Astyanax mexicanus: one gene and its partner. The protein of the gene in region 2 binds, or shares a complex with, the protein of the main gene of each other region. Links are inferred from orthologs where the notes say so. Each region holds a gene or a part of one and is shown on either strand. Other genes may lie near its edges. The genes, in order: serine/threonine-protein phosphatase 4 regulatory subunit 3 and ppp4r4.

What was found.
Region 1: ppp4r4 (region 2) and serine/threonine-protein phosphatase 4 regulatory subunit 3 share a complex: the UniProt entries of both Homo sapiens proteins name them as parts of the PP4 complex. The link is inferred for Astyanax mexicanus from reciprocal best matches to the Homo sapiens genes PPP4R4 and PPP4R3B.

The regions. Positions count from the first base shown.
Region 1 is NC_064432.1:16,151,394-16,162,127, reverse strand, and holds the start of serine/threonine-protein phosphatase 4 regulatory subunit 3, read left to right. Parts: upstream 1-6,307; 5' UTR 6,308-6,590; coding exon 6,591-6,732; intron 6,733-9,108; coding exon 9,109-9,164; intron 9,165-9,279; coding exon 9,280-9,378; intron 9,379-10,734. Other genes in the region: polyribonucleotide nucleotidyltransferase 1, mitochondrial, read left to right, coding at 3,283-3,435. UniProt on the Homo sapiens protein: Regulatory subunit of serine/threonine-protein phosphatase 4 (PP4). May regulate the activity of PPP4C at centrosomal microtubule organizing centers.
Region 2 is NC_064408.1:77,291,985-77,302,099, reverse strand, and holds the start of ppp4r4 (serine/threonine-protein phosphatase 4 regulatory subunit 4), read right to left. Parts: upstream 4,563-10,115; 5' UTR 2,748-4,562; coding exon 2,643-2,747; intron 1,289-2,642; coding exon 1,215-1,288; intron 1-1,214. UniProt on the Homo sapiens protein: Putative regulatory subunit of serine/threonine-protein phosphatase 4.

The DNA of each region.
Region 1 (10,734 bases), on a different chromosome or scaffold from region 2:
TTTGAAATAGTGCAATCATGAAATTCTTTGAATGCATTTTTTGTGCAGAAAGCAAATCAGGTGTTCACCGCACCTGTCCTACTCGTTAGACTAATCACAGAACTCGTTACCTGGAAAAAAATTTGCTCAGCTGAGCTTTCCAAAAGGCCCATTTAGGCCATTTAACTGTGAAACTGTTGTTTTGTTGAATTAGAATAATGGAGAAACCGTTTCATTGAATTAAAATAAATGCTCGAATTTTTGTTTTCTGTGAAGAGTGTTCACTGTGCAGTATAAAGTCAGGGTTGAGTAGAATTTCTAAGTTGTAAAATCAATCATGGGTAAGCAGCGCGACCTCTCAACCGGAATAGTGGCTCAAATTCAAGCCCTTCGCCAACAAGGCTTGACCCAAACTAAAATTGCTGCAGTCTTCCGTCTGCAAAGCTCTCAAGAAAAACTGCAGCAAGCGCACCAACTGTTCCGGCGTCCGAAAAACTTCTGCTCGCGACAACAAGCAGCTGAGAAAGATCGCAGTCAGCAACCGGTTCAAGTCCACTTCCGAGCTCACCGACTTGTGGAACAAGCAGACCGGCGCTGACGTCTCCAGATCAACCACTTACCGTCGTCTGCGCGAACTTGGCTTCAAATCTCGCGTTCCAGCAGTAAAACCGATGCTGAACAAGAAACAAATGGAGAAACGGCTGAAGTGGGCCAAAGAACACGGCGAGTGGACTGCTGAAGACTGGCAGAAAGTGGTCTTCAGTGACGAATCACGCTTCTGCATCTCCTTCGGTGACCAAGGTCCTTGTGTCTGGCGTCGTGGTGGCGAAACCTACAACCACGAGTGCGTGAAAAGATCCGTCAAGTTTCCCCAGAGCGTTATGGTCTGGGGATGCATGTTCGCTCGAGGTGTAGGGAAACTCTGCTTCCTCAAGAAGACTGTCAATGCTGCCGTATATCAAGATGTTCTGGAAACGTTCCTGATTCCGACTGTTGAGGAACAGTTCGGCGAAGAAGACTTCATATTTCAACAGGATCTTGCACCGGCTCATGCGGCAAAGTCGACCAAAGATTGGTTCACTAAAAAACAGCTTGAAGTTTTGGCATGGCCGGCCAACTCGCCTGACCTCAATGTCATTGAAAACCTTTGGGCCATCGTCAAGCGGAAAATTCGCGACAGAAAGCCTACTACGCTGGACCAACTGAAGCAGAACATCGCCACTGCCTGGGAAGCTGTGAGTGCGGAAACTTGCGACAAGCTGGTCAAATCGATGCCGCGGAGACTTCAGGCAGTCATACAAGCCAAGGGGGCAGCCACAAAATACTGAGAAAGTGATGATTGTAATTATAATAAAAATTATTCTAATTCAATGAAACGGTTTCTCCATTATTCTAATTCAATAAAACAACAGTGTCACAGTTAAATGGCCTAAATGGGCCTTTTGGAAAGCTCAGCTGAGCAGATTCCAGGTAACGAGTTCTGTGATTAGTCTAACGAGTAGGACAGGTGCGGTGAACACCTGATTTGCTTTCTGCACAAAAAATGCATTCAAAGAATTTCATGATTGCACTATTTCAAATTATTCTAATTCGTTGACCAGCACCTGTATATATATATATATATATATATATATATATAGTGAGGAAAATAGGTATTTGAACACCCTGTGACTTTGCAAGTTCTCCCATCATGGAGGGGTCTTCATCTTAGGTGCATGTCCAATATGAGAGACATAATCTTAAAAAAAAAAGACCAGAAATCACCATGTATGATTTTGTTCATAATTTATTTGTGTGTTACTGCTGCAAATAAGTATTTGAACACCTGTGAAAATCAATGTTAATATTTGGTACAGTAGCCTTTGCATGAAATTACAGAGGTCAAACGTTTCCTGTAGTTTTTCACCAGGTTTGCACACGCTGTAGCAGGGATTCTGGCCTATTCCTCCAAACAGATCTTCTCCAGATCAGCCAGGTTTCTGGGCTGTCGCTGAGAAAAACGGAGTTTGAGCTTCCTTCAAATATTTTCTATAGGGTTTGGGTCTGGAGACTGGCTAGGCCACTCCAGAACCTTGACGTGCTTCTTACGGACCCACTCCTTGGTTATCTTGGCTGTGTGCTTTGGGTCATTGTCATGTTGGAAGACCCAGCCACGACCCATCTTCAGTGCTCTAACTAAGGGAAGGAGGTTGTTCCCCAGAATCTCGCAATACATGGCCTTGGTCATCCTCTCCTTAATACAGTGTAGTCGTCCTGTCCCATGTGCAGAAAAAAAACGTCCTCAAAGCATGATGCTTCCACCCCCATGCTTCACAGTAGGGATGGTGTTTTTGGGATGGTACTCGTCATTCTTCATCCTCCAAACACGTCAAGTGGAATTAAGAATAAAAAATTCTATTTTGGTCTCATCTGACCACATAACTTTCTCCCACGACTTCTCTGGATCATCCAAATGGTCATGGGCAAATTTAAGATGGGCCTGGACTTGTGCTGATTTAAGCAGGGGAAACATCCGTGCCATGCATGACTTTAAACTATGACATCATAGTTCTTCAGGTCATTGACCAGCTCCTCCCGCGAGTTCTGGGCTGATTCCTTACCTTTCTTATGATCATTGATATGCCGGGAGGTGAGATCTTGCATGGGGCTCCATTCTGAGGGAGATTGACAGTCATGTTTAGCTTCTTTCGTATTTTAATAATTGCTCCATCAGCTGATCTTTTTCCACCAAGCTGCTTAACAATTGCCCCATAGCCCTTTCCAGCCTTGTGGAGGTCTACAACTTTGAACAGCGTTTTGGTCTTAACTATGTTAGTAGTTGGAGTCTTACTGATTGTGTAGGCAGGACAGGTGTCTTTATGCAGCTAACATCCTCAAACAGGTCCTTCAAAATTAGAATAATAAGTGGATTGGAGGTGGACTTTTTAGAGGCAGACTAACCGGTCTTTGAGGGCCAGAATTTTTGCTGATTGGCAGGTGTTCAAATACTTATTTGCAGCAGTAACACAATCAATTATTTAAAAATCATTTTTTTTCATGTTTTTTTTTTTAGATGTTTTTTAGATGTCTCTCACAGTGGACATGCACCTAAGATGAAAATTTTAGACCCCTCTATGATTTCTAAGTGGGAGAAATTGCAAAGTCGCAGGGTGTTCAAATACTTATTTTCCTCACTGTAAGTGTCTGACTAATGTAGATTGTAAAACAATTAAAGCATTAGTGCTGAATTCTCACATATGAATTCTTACTTAGTGCTGCTTAAATGTGCTGTTTAAACGATGTGTGTTATACCTGCATTTACAGGTGAAATATTTTGGACGTGACCCGACAGATGGAAGGATGAGGTTGTCTCGTAAAGTGCTTCATTCTCCTACAGCCACAGTGGTGAAGACTCTTAATGACAAACAGAGTATCACTATGGGAACAACACACGGCCTGTCTGAGACTTCCCCCTGACCTGCAGGACTGCTCAGGAGTATTAGGGGCATGTAGGGTATCAGCAATTCAGTGTATTTCTTTGTTCAGTTTCCTTCACTCAGACATTGAGAGGGGGGTTCACTCCAGCCTTCTCACATTAACGGATATAAGAGAACATGGGGATCTCATGTTTTTATTTATGTAACCATAGTCCAGTACATTTAGATATTTCATGAGTGGGTATTGTTTTATAGGATATTTTTGTTTATATGCACTTTTTTAACAAATAAAAAATTGGGAAAATAAATTTGGCTTCTGTGGTCAAGAATGTCAATCAATTGTGAAATCCTTTAGAGGAAATGTTTCCTGTTTAAAGTTTAAACAAATAACACCCGAATTGTTGCAAATCTCAGCATGTGCCTCAGGCAGTATGTTTTCAGGTGTGGTCTGATTATAGGACACTGAATCTTGCCATTAGGAGTGTGTTAAAGTGTTTACATTTCAGAAGGTACTTTTAGGAATTGTACCTCTTGGTGAGAGATATATTGTTTGTATTAATCTTTACATTCATTAAATGTTTAACTTGTTTGCATTTTCTTTTTGCTGGTACTATGTGTTCTTGCAGTGTATGTATGAAGGGACATTTAAAGGGGGTTCCTGCAGTAGTTTAAACACATTAGACAGGTCTGTTTTATTTGAACAGGTGTTACTGTTACTGCTTTTTGACCTGCCAAAGAGACAGAATAAATACACCAATAATTCAAATATTAAAATTCATTATACATAAACCTACACTCAGTGGCTTATAAAAGGGTAGCACCCAATTTCAAAAGTCTCCGGACGTCCAAAACGGACGTGTTAACCGCCCTCCTTCGCACCAAATGCGCCTTTATTTATTAATTAATTAATTTATTTATTTGTTCGTCTGTTTGTTTGTTTGTATTTTGGGCAGTTATATTTGTTATGTTCTTATTATTATGTTTTATGTTCTTTGTTAGGTAAATGTCAAAATAACCATAATTATCATTTAATGAATTAATGATTATTGCAATAATTTTGACATTTACCTGACAAAGCGTTATGGAAAAATCCCTCCCAAAACTACCTTTATTTAACATTGCCTAATAGGCATTGGTTAGTGTTGAAATTCTGACATGGAATCAATGTTCATTTAAATGTTTAGAATGGTTGGGGCTTTGAATCTACACTTACAATGATTTTAGGTGAAAGGTGCTTCCTACAAATAATAATATACATTTTAATAATAATTATTAAAGTGTCTTCTTCTACACTGCAAGACCACAGTGCTGGGAGACGTGTGTTGAAATCGCAATTTCATATAAATTGATTTATCTTTTGAGAAAAAAATATCAAATGAATTATAATAAAAAAAAACTATGGTTACATTAGCAGCAAAAAAGAGTGCATTATTTGCAATGTAATTAGGGTAAGTGGGGACATGAATACAAGTTTGCTGTCTTCTATTGGACAACACTTTTTGTTGTTTTATATCATAATACAAAGACACTAGTTATAATTAATGGTGATTTAAATGGTTGATGACTTAATGGTTTTCAATCATTTAAATCTTTGAAGTAGATTCAGAGACTTGCCAAAAGTAAATTTAAAAAAATCTTTGAAAATATTACAGGATTCCCAAATAATTTCCGATGTTCCTTTTTTGTCCTCTTTTTATTGTTTATTTTTGTATATAATTTAATAATAATGAGAAAACGAACTAACAAACCTGCGCGTTTTCCCTGCCGATCCCCAGTCGGCTGCCGTAGCCCCTCTCGGGAGACCCCGCGGCGGAACAGTGCTTTGATTGATGTTTTAAGGGAGAAAAGGGGAGTTCGATTCAACTCACAGAACCGACTCTTTTGAACTGTCCGATTAATGAGTTGAACGTCGGATTCAGAGATTCACTTCCGTTCACTTTGGATTTCATCAGCACACACTGAGTTAACAAAATATAATATTTATTTTATAGAAAACACCAAGCTTTTAATTAGTATTTCTGGAAAAGTATTACATAGCATGGGCCTATTATACAAAATACAAAACATAAATTACCTCACATTTATGTATACAATTATTCTTTCTACTTAGTAATTTAGTTGGTAATTTATGGTAATCTTAAAAAATACACCTTTGTATTAATGATATAAATAAGATAATAATAAAAAATATACCAATAACAAAAAAACATATTTGCTTGCCTCTTTTAGGAATAAAAATGCAAATATGGCATTTGTTTTGTGTCAAAATTTCATGACAAATAAAAAGAAGAAATACACATGTTCTAGCTAAATAAACTTAATTAGACATTAAGACAACACTGATATTATTTGTTCTGCTATGTATGTGTGTACAGTATATGCTTTAATTGCAGCTAATGCCTTAATGTCTAATTGAATGTATTTACTGTTTCGCTATTGTTTTTTCTTTATTATTTTGTTTAAGGCATATCCACAATGTTATAGTCACCCTGTAGCTATGTTTACTGTCTAAATAAACAAAGAAAAGAGAAATTCTCTCTTATTTTGTACCTGCACTGAGAATTTCGGAAGGTATTCTGTAGCAACAAAATGAACAAGCTAAAAAGAAAATCTCTTCTGTTAAATGAAAATATTAAAGAGCTGTATAAAATCACAACATTAAAAAAAAAAAAAAAAATATATATATATATATATATATATATATATATATATATATATATATATATATATATATATATATACTATTAATAATACTGATTTAATGCTATTATTTTTTTTTATAAAAATACATTACATTATCACACATTATCTCTATTTTTTTCCAGAGCTTTGTATGGGGTTTAACTCGTTGGAGCTTGTGAACCGATTCTACTGTCTGAGTCACGATTCGTTTGGTTGTAGAGTCACCATCACTAACACCAGATCGGATTACAAGATGGCGGTCGGTGGGTGAGAGAATACGGCCGCTGGAGATCAAACTGGTCTGGGGGTTGTTTTTAGTGAGCGGAGTGCTGGTAAATGAGGAGCGGGAGATCTTCGGGCTGGTAGAGAGTGGAGAAGTGCGTTTCTGAGCTCGTGTGGGGGAACATGCGGTTAGTAACAGAGTTTAAAGCCCGGGGTTGAGGAAAAAACAGCGGAGAAAACAACAGCGGCGGCGGCGGCGGCGTTCACGGAGCCGATTCACCGAGACCGACCATGTCGGACACCAGGCGGCGGGTTAAAGTTTACACGCTCAACGAAGACCGACAGTGGGACGACAGAGGGACCGGGCACGTCTCCTCTACTTATGTGGAGAGACTGAAGGGAATATCGCTGCTGGTTCGGGCTGAATCCGACGGTAAGGCTAATGCTAAAGCAAGGATAAGCTAAGCTAAGCTAAGCTACATGAAACGGTTAGCTTGTTAGCTAGTCAGTTTAGCTAGCTATCTATTTATCTTAATGCTGTCTATACGCTACACGACTTTAAAAAGACTCTGAAAAGGCTTTTAACAGAATAAAGTCTAAAGATTAGACTCACGTTTAGTGACAGGATAAGATGTAGTAAACACTGATGATAACTGTTAACTGTTTTCAGGACTGCAACTAGATTCTTTTTGAGATTATTTCCCATCATGCTTTTGGTGGAGTTTAACGTTACACACAATACAAATTACATATTTAGTTACAAGTAATAAGTATTTCAATATTGTGATTTATCAGAGACTCACAACTTTTGTCCCCAACAACAGTTTATTTTTCCGCCACACTGTTAGTTCTTGATATTTTTAATAGAATACATTGTGTTTAACTCCGCCTATAAAACCTCTTAAAATGCCTTGTCCCGTGTAAGGGCTACAGGTGTAGGTGATACAAAACCCCCTTTTCTCCTTTGGAGTGAAATAACTTATTTACATTCTGAAAATTTTGAGGGATTTGAAATCTCCTACAGGACACTTAGAGAAGCTGTCTGTCCACTCTCTACTCAACTTAATAATTCCATGCCAGTAAAATGAATCAACCCTAATTCTGTATGTTTAAAAACAGACGTAAAAACTAGACAACCATAATGAAACTAAAGGTTTGGAGGACATTAACTGTTTGATTTGTATTTAGGAAAATATTTATTTTAAAATAAAGGTCAGGAAAGAGCCAATTTAATGATTTTATTCGTTATATTTTGACATTTACAGATTTTTTATTTCTGTTTCTGCAAAAATTAATCTCAGAGAGGTACCCACTAGAGACCACTCTAGTTTCATAATCAGTTTCTTTGATCTTGCTGTTTATAGGTATATGTTTGAGTAAAGTGAACATTGTTGTAGAAATGCTTATAAAAATGCACTGCTTTCAAACATCAAACAATGAGAAAAAAACAAGTCCACATTCATAACGTTTTAAGAGTTATTTAAACTCCACACTTAATTGGAAGTACCAAAACATTTAAAATAGTTTGTACTGAAGTATTTCAAGCAATTTATTTAAAAAAGGCTGCAAAATTAATCAAATTAATTTGATTAAATGTATTACTTTTTTTTGGCATAGTAATCACTATTGTTTATCTTTACATACTATATAAGCTACCAGAGGAAATCTCAGTAGGTTAATTTAAATTAAATGGAAAAACAATACCTCCCACATCACTTTAAATGTGCTACTTGTTTACAAATGAAAACATAATTAGGTTGTTGTGTACAAAGCCTGTTAAAGTAAAAAAAAAGGAATGGTCCTTTACGTGAATGCTGACATTTTTAATCAAGGCAAGGTTGAGTGTTGCTTGTACAATAACAACAGACTTAAACTAGCAATTTCTAGGCAAGTAAACATTCATTGTTTCTTATTAACTTAGATTAGGTGGTAAGTATAGAGTAAAGGCTATCAGGATTTTAAAAGAGTGATAAGGAGAGAGACTACTAAGCAGTCAACAGGTCATCCAGAGTGTTGCCCAATGTGTTAGTACGACTTTCCTATGCTTTTTTTTAATGCTGGGATTGATTTATTTATTTATTTATTTAAGTTCGCATTATGAGGATAAATGTAAATAAGTATAATGAATAATACTATTTAAATCTTATAATGAATGTAAACAAAAATGGATGTTACTGTGCTGAGTTAGTCCTTCACGTAATAAAAGGTAAAAAAAAAAAACTATGCTTACTGTAAATATACCTAAATAAATCAGAAATCGAATTGAATTTCTGATTCAGATTTGAATAAATTCCGTAAATAACTGGTGATTATACCCTACTGTTCATATACACTTCATCTGTTTTGATTTTATATACAGCATGCGACTGTGTAATTAATCATCCCTTTCACTTTCATATTGGTGAATGATGCATGTACTGAATCTTGATAGATGTCTGTTTAGATGTGGAACAGCTAATCAAGTTCACATTTCTTCAGCAGGATATAGTGCCACCTTTGAGTCATGTTGTTTTTGATGTTAATCATCTAACCACTGACAAGCCAGTCACCCTTTGTAAATGGTCTTACACACTTAAAATGTTTAGGCCTGGTGGACTGGGCTTTTTCTACACATATACAACAGTGATGAATCTGTGGACGGTTGTATTTAAAACAGGTCAAAGAAAGAATCTTTACTACGGGACACTTCATCTTTATGTAATTATGTAATTATTTTGACAGCAAAGCAATTTAAGTGCCACTCCTCAATCTCTTATTAACTTTGGGTAAATTTTGTGATGTGTGCTTTCTGGATTTTTTTTTTTTTCAGGCTCACTTTTGTTGGAGTCCAAAATCAGTCCAAATACAGCATATCAAAAGCAACAAGTAAGTGTTGATCCACAGTTTTGTGTTTTGGGTTAATTATTGGTTTCAATCTTTAAAGGACACTTGCTATCTATACAGCTTCTTATTTCTGTAAATGTTCATGTTTTTCTCTTAGGATACACTCATCGTTTGGTCCGAAGCAGAAAATTATGATCTTGCCCTAAGTTTCCAGGAAAAGGCAGGTTGTGATGAAATCTGGGAGAAGATCTGTCAGGTAAACAGTTAAATGTGTTTTTGCAAATTATCTGTTACTGAGGCTGGAAAATCAAGTAGTTATTTCTACGTATCTTCTAGCAGTATATTGAGAAGAACTCAAAAACAAAGTTTGTACCAATGTAAAGCAGTGTTTTTCCTTTAATTGTGTAATTGTGTTTAATTTATCGTAATACAGGTGTGAGGTTATTACCCATGGTTTACAGAAATGCCAAGCACACGTTCTGGATGGGACAGTCTTAGCAGCTTATATTTTTAAAATTGGTATACCTAAAATGTGTTGTTAAATATTGCTCTGATAGAAACTTTTACTGTAATACATTTCACAAATGGGCAGTCTAAAAAGTGAGAATAATTGTGCCTAAATACCTGCTGGTGCTTTTTCTTTTCACACCGGCTGTATAAAAAGGCTGTGTAGGCTATGTTCGGTTCACTACTTGCTTTCCAGCCCTGCTGTAGTTCACAGGGAATGCACAGTAGTCCCACACAGTTGATTTAACAGCAACAGGCGGGTCCTATAGCTCCTGTGTATTAGAGGTGTGCCAAAAAATCGATTCACATAAGAATCTTGATTCTCATTTACTACGATTCAGAATCGATTTAAAATGTCCCAAAATCGATTCTGAGGGGCGGGTTTTGGACTGATTTTGGGCTGGGTATTTTTGTTGGACCTGGCAACCCGCTTGTCCCTTCAAACCGAGGTCTTCCAGACACACACAGAGCGTAGGTGTTTGAGAATCACCGGTAAGATGGCAGAACAAGCACTATATTACCTTAGATTAACGTGTAGTTTCAATGTTTTATGGCAGAATGCTTCATAACAAGCATAAAAAAGATCGCTAGTAGTTAGTTTCAGTAACTGTTAGCTAGCTAACAAGCTAACTTTCCAGTTCCACCTTAAATAACGCTACAGGTGGCTGCGGGCTGCAGCATTTAAGGCGGAACGGAAAAATAACAATAAGCTAATCAGAGCTCATTTCAGCTCCTCATCACAGAGGAATTAAGGAATGGACAATATGAATTAATTTCTCCACCTCCTGCCCCCTTTCTGAAGAAATACAACGACCTTAAATTAACTAGTTAATCAGCAGCTGCTCCTGAACTTTAGCGCTCCACTGCTATCATCACATCAGCCCAGCAGCGTCACCTACACACCACCGCTAGTAGCCTGGTAATAAAGCAGTGTTATTTATTATTTATTTATTGTTCATTAACGTCATTGTGATATCCCAGTGATTTCTCTGTCACTGAGGACCCACATTCCTGCACATTTTATTGTTTTTGTAACACATTACTTGCTCCAGGACCAGTGTATATTATGGAGGGTTTTTTTTCAATAAGATTCATAAGCCAGAAG
Region 2 (10,115 bases):
AATCCTCCATCAGATAGTGATGCATCTCTGTTGTACCTGTGCATTTCAGTGTCAGTAACGCACTGGATTAAGAATGGTGTCTCTTAGAAGTCTGGTCCTCCAGAGACTGGCACACAGTTAACTTTGCCAGAGACATCAATGAGAGGCCACTCACTACCTGCATTATTCATGAGACGTGTACATCAGCGACGACACAGCATCCCATGACCAGCTGAGCTGTACGCTCTACATCAGGCAGTAGGCGATGAGAAGTCATGAAGCGTACAGCTTTACCCAAATACATGTTAGTGTTATTTTAGCTATGAACAAACAACTAGGGCAAAATTATGCACAAGAAAACAAGCCTGACAATCTATTAGAATATGGATTTTTGTATAAAGGGCTCCCATACTGCAGACTACACCTTATGGTATTAAATAACGACTATTTAATTCAAACCACATAATGTTTTACATTAATATATTAATAAATAAATATTTTTTATAATAATACAAGAGGGGGTGTAAAATGTCAAATTCTGCATGTTATACATGGAAAAGAAGGTAACTGAATTCATGTTTTCCAATTTATTTTCACATTACAAGTTCACAATTATTTTAATCTTTGGTTACCTACACTACACTGAGTTCAAATGGACCTGTGCTGAAGCTGTCCATTCTGTGTATTTACATATTATTTATTGTATTATCTGGAGAAATATGAAGAAAAATTATAAAATGACAGTTTATTGACCAAAATTGTACACCCCTAAACCAGTCTCAAGATTCTGCAGGCTTTCTGGTACAGGAAAAACACAATAATTAAACTTATGCTTGTTTTAAAAATGTAGATACATAATAATACTTCATTTTTGTATGATAGAGCACAATAATCTCAAATTATAAACAGCTAAAACCTATACCTTAACAGAAACCAACAAAATCCCTGTACGAATGTAGCCTTCACTTATTTTTGCTGTTTGAGTTTAAGAAATAAGAATGATATATGTGACTCCTTGTGACTCCTGATTCCTTAAAATCTGTCACTATTTTTTTCAGTTCTGAGAGCCCGAAGTGGAAATCAAGATAATTCAAATATGGCTATTGTGATTATTCTGTTTTATTATAATTATTATTGGCTTTTGTAGTGTTGAACCATTTTAGAGCTTGTGGTCCAAAAGTTCAATAAGCAATTTCTGTACATTAATATTGTAGAGAATTTGCCATTGTCTTTACCTGAGGAGGTAGACTGCCCGCTCTATGTCATTCAGATCTTCATCAACAGTTAACTTGTCAATCTCTTCTGCAGTCTGAAAAACATAAAAGGATATATACATGCATAAATACATACATAAACAAATATAATAAAAACATATTGATTGATCTTAAAATCTTGAACTTTATTTTTACTTGTACTAAACAGACAGTGTTTAAAATAACCGAGTATATTTAATGGCTGGCAGACAACAGGGCAGATATGTCATGTAATCCTTTGCACACACAGGCGGCCTTGAGTATCTCACGTCAAAATAAACCTATGCTTCATAAGAATCTTTATATGAAATAGGTGGATGGACATCAACCAATTCCATTACGGCTTAAAGATGACTCAGCCAAATGTGTGAGGGGGTTTGCAGCGAGGCAGGATGTGAAGCACGATGGACTGCGTGGGAAGAAAGTGTGGGGGACGGGAGCCATGTGGGCGACGAGTCTATTACTTCAGGGCTTCTCTCATTAGCCGAAAAGCTTCTTGCAGGAACCTCCCTACAAAAAAATCGAGCATGGGTAGAAAACACCCGCCCTCCTCGTACGCAACAAATTCCTTCCATCCGGTGTGTGATAAGCCTATATTCGGGCAAGAGAGGATGAGAGTAATCTCATCTTCTTCATTCTGCTGCTGGAGGTAGAGCAGCTTTCATGGCTTGTGGCGTATAGGATAATAAATACAGCTTTACACATCTAGCTAGCTACATAAGTAGGAATGCTGTTATTGGGCATGGTAGAAAGCCTGTGAAATCTGGTAGACATACTGCAGTGGAGTGGCGTGGAGGAGGCAAGGTAGGGATGCGCACAGCTGACAGAAACTGCGTCACTCTCTCTCTAAAGCGATGTGGGCAACCCCCAGCCTCCCTACCAGCAGCAGCAGCAGCAGCAGCGTCTAGCCTCCTCCACAGTAACTCCTCACATACCGTGCTTCTTCTCAATGAGGAGCAGCAGCAATGAATTTACCTTAGAGCTAAAGAATAATAATAATCTAGTATCTGAAACAGTTTGGGTAGGTGTTTAACAGAACAGAAGGGCACATGAAGCAAATCAATGACCCATCTGAAGCAAATCAAAATCCACCTGTTTCTCGCCACAGAGAATAAGGATAGCTAGTTATCACTATTTCATTAGGGATTAGGGGATCAAATGATGTTAAGGTGAGCTTGTTAGCTTAATTTAACACACACGCCTTCATATTTATAATACACAGCCTGCCACTTAGATAACGCTATACATACTCTCTTACATAAACTAAAAAACAGGTTCAACCTCAAGCAATTTCATGGTTGCTCAATAAAAAGAACATGATAAACCCCTAACTGAAAATGAATAAATGATTGTTAGCTAGTTATGTTGGCTAGGTGAATGTAGTTGAGATAACTATTTAACTCTCGTTACCTTTAGGCTCCTGCGTATAGGTCTCTCGATGAACGTGAGGTCCTGCAGGTCATCTATCTGCCCAAACAGACCGGACTGGCTAAGAGTCATTTTGCCGACAAACATCTGGTCCCGGTTTGGTTTGGTGCTGTTTATGGATGTGATGGAGAGAGAAGAAGTCCTCTCTTGTCTGTTACAGCTCCTCAGTCATGACTGCAGGTCCTTAGCTAAGTCTTAACGCTGATTCGACTTTTCCTGGGAGAAGAAGGAGCTGTTCCTCCCACGACAAGAAAAAGAAGAAAAACAGTATCCCTCCTTCAGGTTATAGCAGGACTTAGCTAGGTTAGGTTAGATGGCTGGCTATAACTAATTCATCGGGTGGTGGTGGTGGTGCTGCTCCTGCTGAAGATGCTCTGCTGTGTTCAGAAGCCTCTAGTCGTATCCAGTCGGGAAGGAGGTGGAAAAGCACTGGCGTTGGCAAAACCACGCGACGCAGAGCTGGGATTCCCGTGAACGAGGGATGCTGTTGAACTTTGTGAGGAATATGGGTGGCTGTGCAAAGGCTAGTTTTCCCATTGCCGTAGCTGTCACACACTTACATCCACACACATACGGGTGTTCTGTCGATTTGTGCTACCCCGTCAAACCGTGCTACCCAAGTGAGTATTTAAACGCAAAAATACCAGATAAAAAGCACCATATTTAAAAATGCACGCTAAAAAAGTCTCGGTATGATTTTTTTTGAAAGTCTCAATCAATATATCAGTTAAAGGAAAAGTGAGTAGAGTAGAACCAGTTTTTATATATTTTTATAGTCTTATTATTACTTTTATTATTAACTGCCATTTACACATTTGCAATACAAATTCAAATAGAGGCAGGGCGATTAAAAACAGAATTACCGGAAAAACACATGAAAACTTACATTAAAACAAAAAAAATGCAGATCTGCGCTTGCGCACTGGTGTAAGAAGCACATATAGAAGCATAACACAACTTGACAGAACACCGGTCACACTTATACACAGCCGATGAGAATGACTGGCTGGCAGGCTGAGGGACTAAGTGGCGGGCGACGTTTGCCTTAGATAGTTAACTAGCTGTTAGCTAACTAACTAACTAGCGTTAGCTTATTAACCTACCTAGCCTTCTCTGACTAGCTAGTTAAGCTACCTAACTAGCTAGTTTAGTTAACTGCAGGCCAAACCATCACTACAAGCCATAAGAACAAACCTATCAAACCCAGCTAGCTAATTAACTAAGCTAGTTAACTAATTAATTACTATCAGACGTGACGCGTTCATAAAGTCGTTTATAAAGTCGATAGTCGTTCATAAAGTCCAAAACCCAACCGAAAAAATCGTTAGTGTGAGGCTAAAGCTAGTTAAAGCTCGTTAGATAAGCTACCTCTTCGACGTGAAAAGCCTTAAACTAGCTGGTACAGACAGTTAGCTAGCTATAGCTAACCCAGCTCTTACATAAATTCTGTCGGTTAGCTATCTTAGCGTTATTTAGCTCCAGCTAACCTAAAGCTAAGTTGATCATTCGAGGCAGCAGCCCGTCCACTCACTCACGACTCCGCCAGTCTCCGAAACGCTACGAAAACCTCTCATTATAACCGTCCCCCGCCGCCCAGCTCTGATCACAGTAATGTCTGAAATGCGCTAGATACGCTCCGTGTCCGCTCCGCTGTACACAGCGCTGGTTTTCCGACGTTAAAAGAGCTGGGAGTAAAAATTGTGCAGCCAGAACAAACCGCTCCACACCACGCAAACGCACTGCACCAACTCAGCCGGTTGCCATGGAGACCGCATGCCACCGTAGTGTAGAGCAGCTCAGGCGCGTCACGGCGCGCGGACTTCAGCTCGTCATCAGCCCGTGATGATGACCTGCAGAGAGAGCACAAAAGCCGTGGACACAGAGAAAAACACGCGTAAACAGGAGTCTGATGCAGCACCAGAGAGACGTAAAAGCAGGACTTCTCCTCCTGCATAAACTCTGACCAAAACTTAGCTCCTCTCCTATTGGACAGTTCTGACTTCTGACGTAAAGGGATGGTTCACCGAAAAATCCCAAATTTATGCAGCAATCACAATAATCACACCCCTTATCACAGATATATATACTCTTAAAATACAACAAATTACTGTAATATGTAGTTTCTTGATTGCATACAAAAACGAGGTAATTGATCTAAAAAAGAACATCAAGAAAAACTAAAGCAGTTTTTACTCACTAGGTCATAGAACAAATTGCATTTTCTGCATCTACTGTGTATCAGAAGTACTCTACACCAGGGGTTCTCATCCGGTCTCAGCCAGGGACCCACATTTTCTCCTTGTCATTGAGTCCCAAACCACATTATATAGAGTACAAACCAAAACATTTTTGAAAATAACTTTCTAAAGCCCATTTATACATACATATGCCTACAAAGTGAATTTAAGAACTTTTTTTAAGAAACTGAGGAGGAACCTGACAGGTTACTACAATAAAATTAATAAATTAGACGTTTTACTTCTCTGCATACCTCTACTTTCAGAGTACATTAGTTAGAAACTCTCTTTTTTCCCAATATCAAAGATGAGTGCAAAATCAGATGAGCAAAAAGTATTTAAATTAGTCATTATATATTTTTTACAAGCTATCTGCACTTCTAAAACAGCATTCACTCCACCTGGTATATCTATAATCCAGCACATCTTAAAGAAGTGGGCACACCCCGGCACATCTAAGGCGGCCAGTACAGTATTCAGCGCATTCCAAAGCAGCCAGCACTTCCACTGGCACACAATAAAACTGGTGGCATACCTAAACCAGCACACCCAGAAAGCTGCATGCAGACCACCCTTCACATCCCAATGTAGCCAACAGACCACACAGCACATCTTGAAGCTATCGGTACAACAAAAGAACTGGCTTGCCATTTTTATATATTAAGTTTTTATTCCCTCTAACACACACACACACACACACACACACACACACACACACACAAAGTCTGTGTTGAGCTTACAATTATCTGTAACTGTACAGGGAAAAAAATATTTAAATGTATTATTTACATGTATTTCTATTGAGCCATTTATAATACAAAATTTGCATGTATAACCTTAAGATTGTGTAAGGAACAACTGCCAGATTCAAAGTTTAAATACTGAAAAATATCAAAAATAGACACAAGCCTCAGGGTATTTTCTGTGACATTGTACTGTAACATAATGTAATATAAGCTTAAAGAGCTTGTTCCAGGAGTATTGTAAACTTTTTGTGGTGCAATGGAACTTTGTTTTGTCTTGTAATTGTAATGAAATTGCGCCACCTGCTGTCCGCATTCACGCCACACACGCATTATTCTAATATTTAATTTTCTGGACGTTCCTGCCCACTTATATTTTTTAATGTTTATTGGGTAAAAAGTCATAAATCATGTTTTAAAAAATCCGGTCTTTAAATCTCTCTTCATCTCTTCAATATGCAATATCCAAATCAGTAACAAAACATATTAAAAGTTAATAAACTTCTAGTGAATGAGAAAAAAATGCATTGTTTTAATGTCCTCAGTATGACATTAATATGTGGCACTTCATGTGTGCCTTTTAAATGTAAAAAAAACAGCATATTAAACATTTGTGAAGAAACTTTTTTGCCAATCCTACAAAATAGCAATTTCTAGCCTCGTTCTAAAAACCCTATTTTGGATTAACACTGTGTGTTATTTTAAGGTGATAAAATGCAAACAGGAATGACATAATTTGTATTGGTGTAACATATTTTATTCATGTGTAGACATGAAAAACACCTAAATAGTGGTATAAATAGGGACAGAGGTATTCCAGAACCAGTATTAGGACCAACTGACTTATAGTTTAAAGACTGCAGTATGGTACTGCAGCAGTGATGAACATCCTAATATTAATCCTCTTCATTTCCAAAAAAATAAGCACGAAAAAATTTCAGCATGAAGTGTGCCTTCGTAATTGCAGTGATTACAGTAGGTACATTATCTGTTACCAGTTTGGGCAGGGGAGAGGGGAGGGCATGCTTATTTAAAGACAGTAAAACAACACTCTTCCAGTGAGGTTATATAGGTCATGTATGTAAACTTATCCTTTGGTTCACCATGACTAAGCAAAACCTACCATTAAGCACTAGAGCTTTGATGGTCTTTTCTCTTATAGGTTAAGCTGAATTGAGTAAACATCTTTTTGTAACTGAAACTGGGGAAAAAAGTGAACAGTGAAGTAAGATCTCTGATTCTTTCTGTCTATCCATCTTTCTGTCTATCCACCTCTCTGAGAGGTAGTGGTTTTATCCACAATTTCAACAGTATTTTTGTGAATTTATGCTCTATTTGAGGTCTGAAAGCTCATATTTTAGCCATTTCACATTTTCTACAAATACATGCTCTAAATGACAATTTTTTATTTGGAATTAGGGAGAAATGTTGTCTGTAGTTCTGTGTCTGTGACCCAGTGGGTTTCCCAGGATCCCTCCAAGCTGTCCTAGTATGACCCCTTCTTTGCAGGTCACTCTAAACACCGTCTCCACCACAGCCGTGTGTGAAGACATGGGTAAACCTTTGGAACAGATGTGTGTAGGACTGCATCATGATAACTGATGTTTAATTAATTTTACATTTTCTTTTTAACATAAATTAATATTGTTTCTAACCTCTTTGCTAAGGTCTGTTATTTTGGATGTGTACTATTTATCTTAGACTGAAACATAAAGACAGGGTTCAAATGTGTCAAGTGTTTGCATATAAATGTAAACTTTGGCAAAATATGTATTAAATGAATTGAAAGAGGGCATATGTAATGATATAACATATTGTATCCATTTACTGACCCATTTACATTGATATCAATTCAGTATAATAAGTATTAGGTATTTATGTGGTAGAACAACTTTAGAGCGCTTATTCACAGCTTATTAATTTGCACTGGCATAGAGGGCAGGGGCAAATATTAATTACAGTGCAAACTTATCTGACACCAAATACTGTACTCATCCTGACACCTGTTCTGTTCTGTTACAATAAAGTTTATGCCAATGTATTGCTTATGTCGCTAATGGATTGGTATGGCATTACATCACACCAGCCTATTTGCTTTACTTGCTGTATATTTCTATTTTAACAATATGGGGGTAATAAGGACACTCCCACATGTATTGCTTCTTAATATGTCAAAAAAATAAAATTAGGTGCAGCACATCAGCTACAAATTATTAGAAACTTTCTAGAAAGGATTCTGGATGAGTCTGTCTTATTTAAACGTTTGACATTAGTTTGGGTATTTTGATTGTTGAGTGGATCACCCCAGCCAGATCCAAAGAGCATTCTGAGGCTTGAGCTCACATGTCTGTGCATACTTGTTGCATTTGTTAGTTTGTAAGTTTTGTTATTTTACTTACCCTGAAACAAAACATTTTTATTTTAACATTACATTTACATTTAAAATATTCACTTCAGGCTACTGTATCAATTTTCTACACACATATTTCTGTCATATACACATCATTCATTATGAAATCAAAAGTGGTTCCTATATTTCTGTAATTACCCCCTCTCATTTAAATTTAGCTTTTATGGTTTCACATGACACTTAAAAATATATTTTTAAATTCATGTGAGATACATAATTTTTCTATCTTCCATATACACATAGTAATATGAAAATCACAGCAGGATGGGTGCTGTTGACCACTGGGTGAAATGTTTCTTCATGACCCTGCTGTTACAAATGTCGTGAAGTGTTGGCAGAGTACACCTAATGACCTCTGAAGTTCTGATTATGCACTGGGGTCTGTCTTCTTCTTGTAAGGTAGATGATCCAGAGCAAGTGGTTATAAATTATTTTAAAATAAACTCAATGAAGGACTGGAAGGAAAAGACCTGGTGCCAGTTTGAATTCTTCAGCAGCAAAAAGAAAACCCCAGAACATTTGCAGCATGAATTCACATATTAAGTATTTAAATTGTGTTTAGTGTTTAACCTGTAGACTCTGAGTGTAAGCGCACATAAGTACAGTTCTATTATTATTAACATCAGTTCCAAAAGCCCTACACTAGAACCTTGTGGGACTCCACAATTCCCACAGGTCTCTGCATTAGGATTAACAATTAAATAATTACCCTAGGGCTCAAGGGTATGTCATGTTCACTCCAATTATTTCCCCCTGTCTCAAGCTTTCCAAGATGTCTTAATTTGCGTACTGCATAGACCAGTAACAATAATTCATAATTTGCAGATTGCAAAAGCAAGGCCGAACTAGTAAAACTGGTGAGTGGTTGTTGGACGTTTTAGTTTGATCAAGGGAGGCATGTAGTCTAAAAAGTTTAAGAACCACTGGAATAGAGAACCTGTTAAACTACATGCAAATCCAAGTGATGCTGACCCACACCCTTTACAGTGAGCCAGCACTTGTACTATGTGGACCTTTTTTTTTTTTTTACCACAGCTTCGGTTACAGACATTTGAGTCACTGACACTGTAAATATGAGAAACATCAAAACAGTTGCTTGCTTGCAACATTGATGTTTTGATGAAGCATTCCAAGTAGTGAATTGACAAAGTCACTTCAGCTCTATAAGTCAAACATATTACCTTAAAAACTTTAGTAGAAAGTCAGTTGAACACAGAATTTTACAGCACTGGGGCTCCTGAGTGTTGCATTGACCTCAGCAATGACCACATCACTGGGAGAATGTCATTGCTTTCTGTAAAATCACTGTCAAAGGGTGGCTATAGGATGGCCCTCCCTCTCCTCACATCACTCTGCTTGAACATAGTCTGAAAATATGCAGTATCAAGCATCCTTTTATTTGAAGGAAATGCATTCCAGCTTTCACCCTCCTGACACTGGTAGCAATGTCTGATAGTCCAAGCTAATGGTAGGAATTTAAAATGGCTAAACTTTGGGTTTAAAATGTAAAGAGTTGTCTTGGTTATGGGGGCTCTAAGTGGCCCATTAGACTAAGGTGCTCTCACTAAGATTGGAATCCCAGGTCATGCTGCTTGCCATCAGCAGCCGGAGTCTGAGAGAACACAATTGGCCATGCTCTTTCTGGGTGAGTAGATAACAGTTCCAAAAGGTGATGTTGGTTAACACAGGCGTCTGTTTGCTGATGTGTTAGAGCTGGGTAGCTGCGTTTCCTCTGAGCAGGCTGGCTACCCAGTGATACTACTGTAACCCTTTATCTTGAGAGTGTCGGTAGCATGGAACTCCGCTACATGAGGCAGTGAGGCAAAAGAACCTGGAGATTTGCAAAATGTTGCTTCAAGCTGGAGCTAAGATAATAGCTAAAACCATTTATGGCATAGACCCTGTGTTTACTGCAGCTCAGTGTGGGACAACTGACGTGCTTAACCTTTTTGTTAATGAAAGGTAGGTAAAATACACTCCCCTCCAAAGGTATTGGAACAGTGAGGCCAATTCCTTTATTTCTGTTGTAGACTAAAAACATGGGTATGATATTAAAAGATGAATA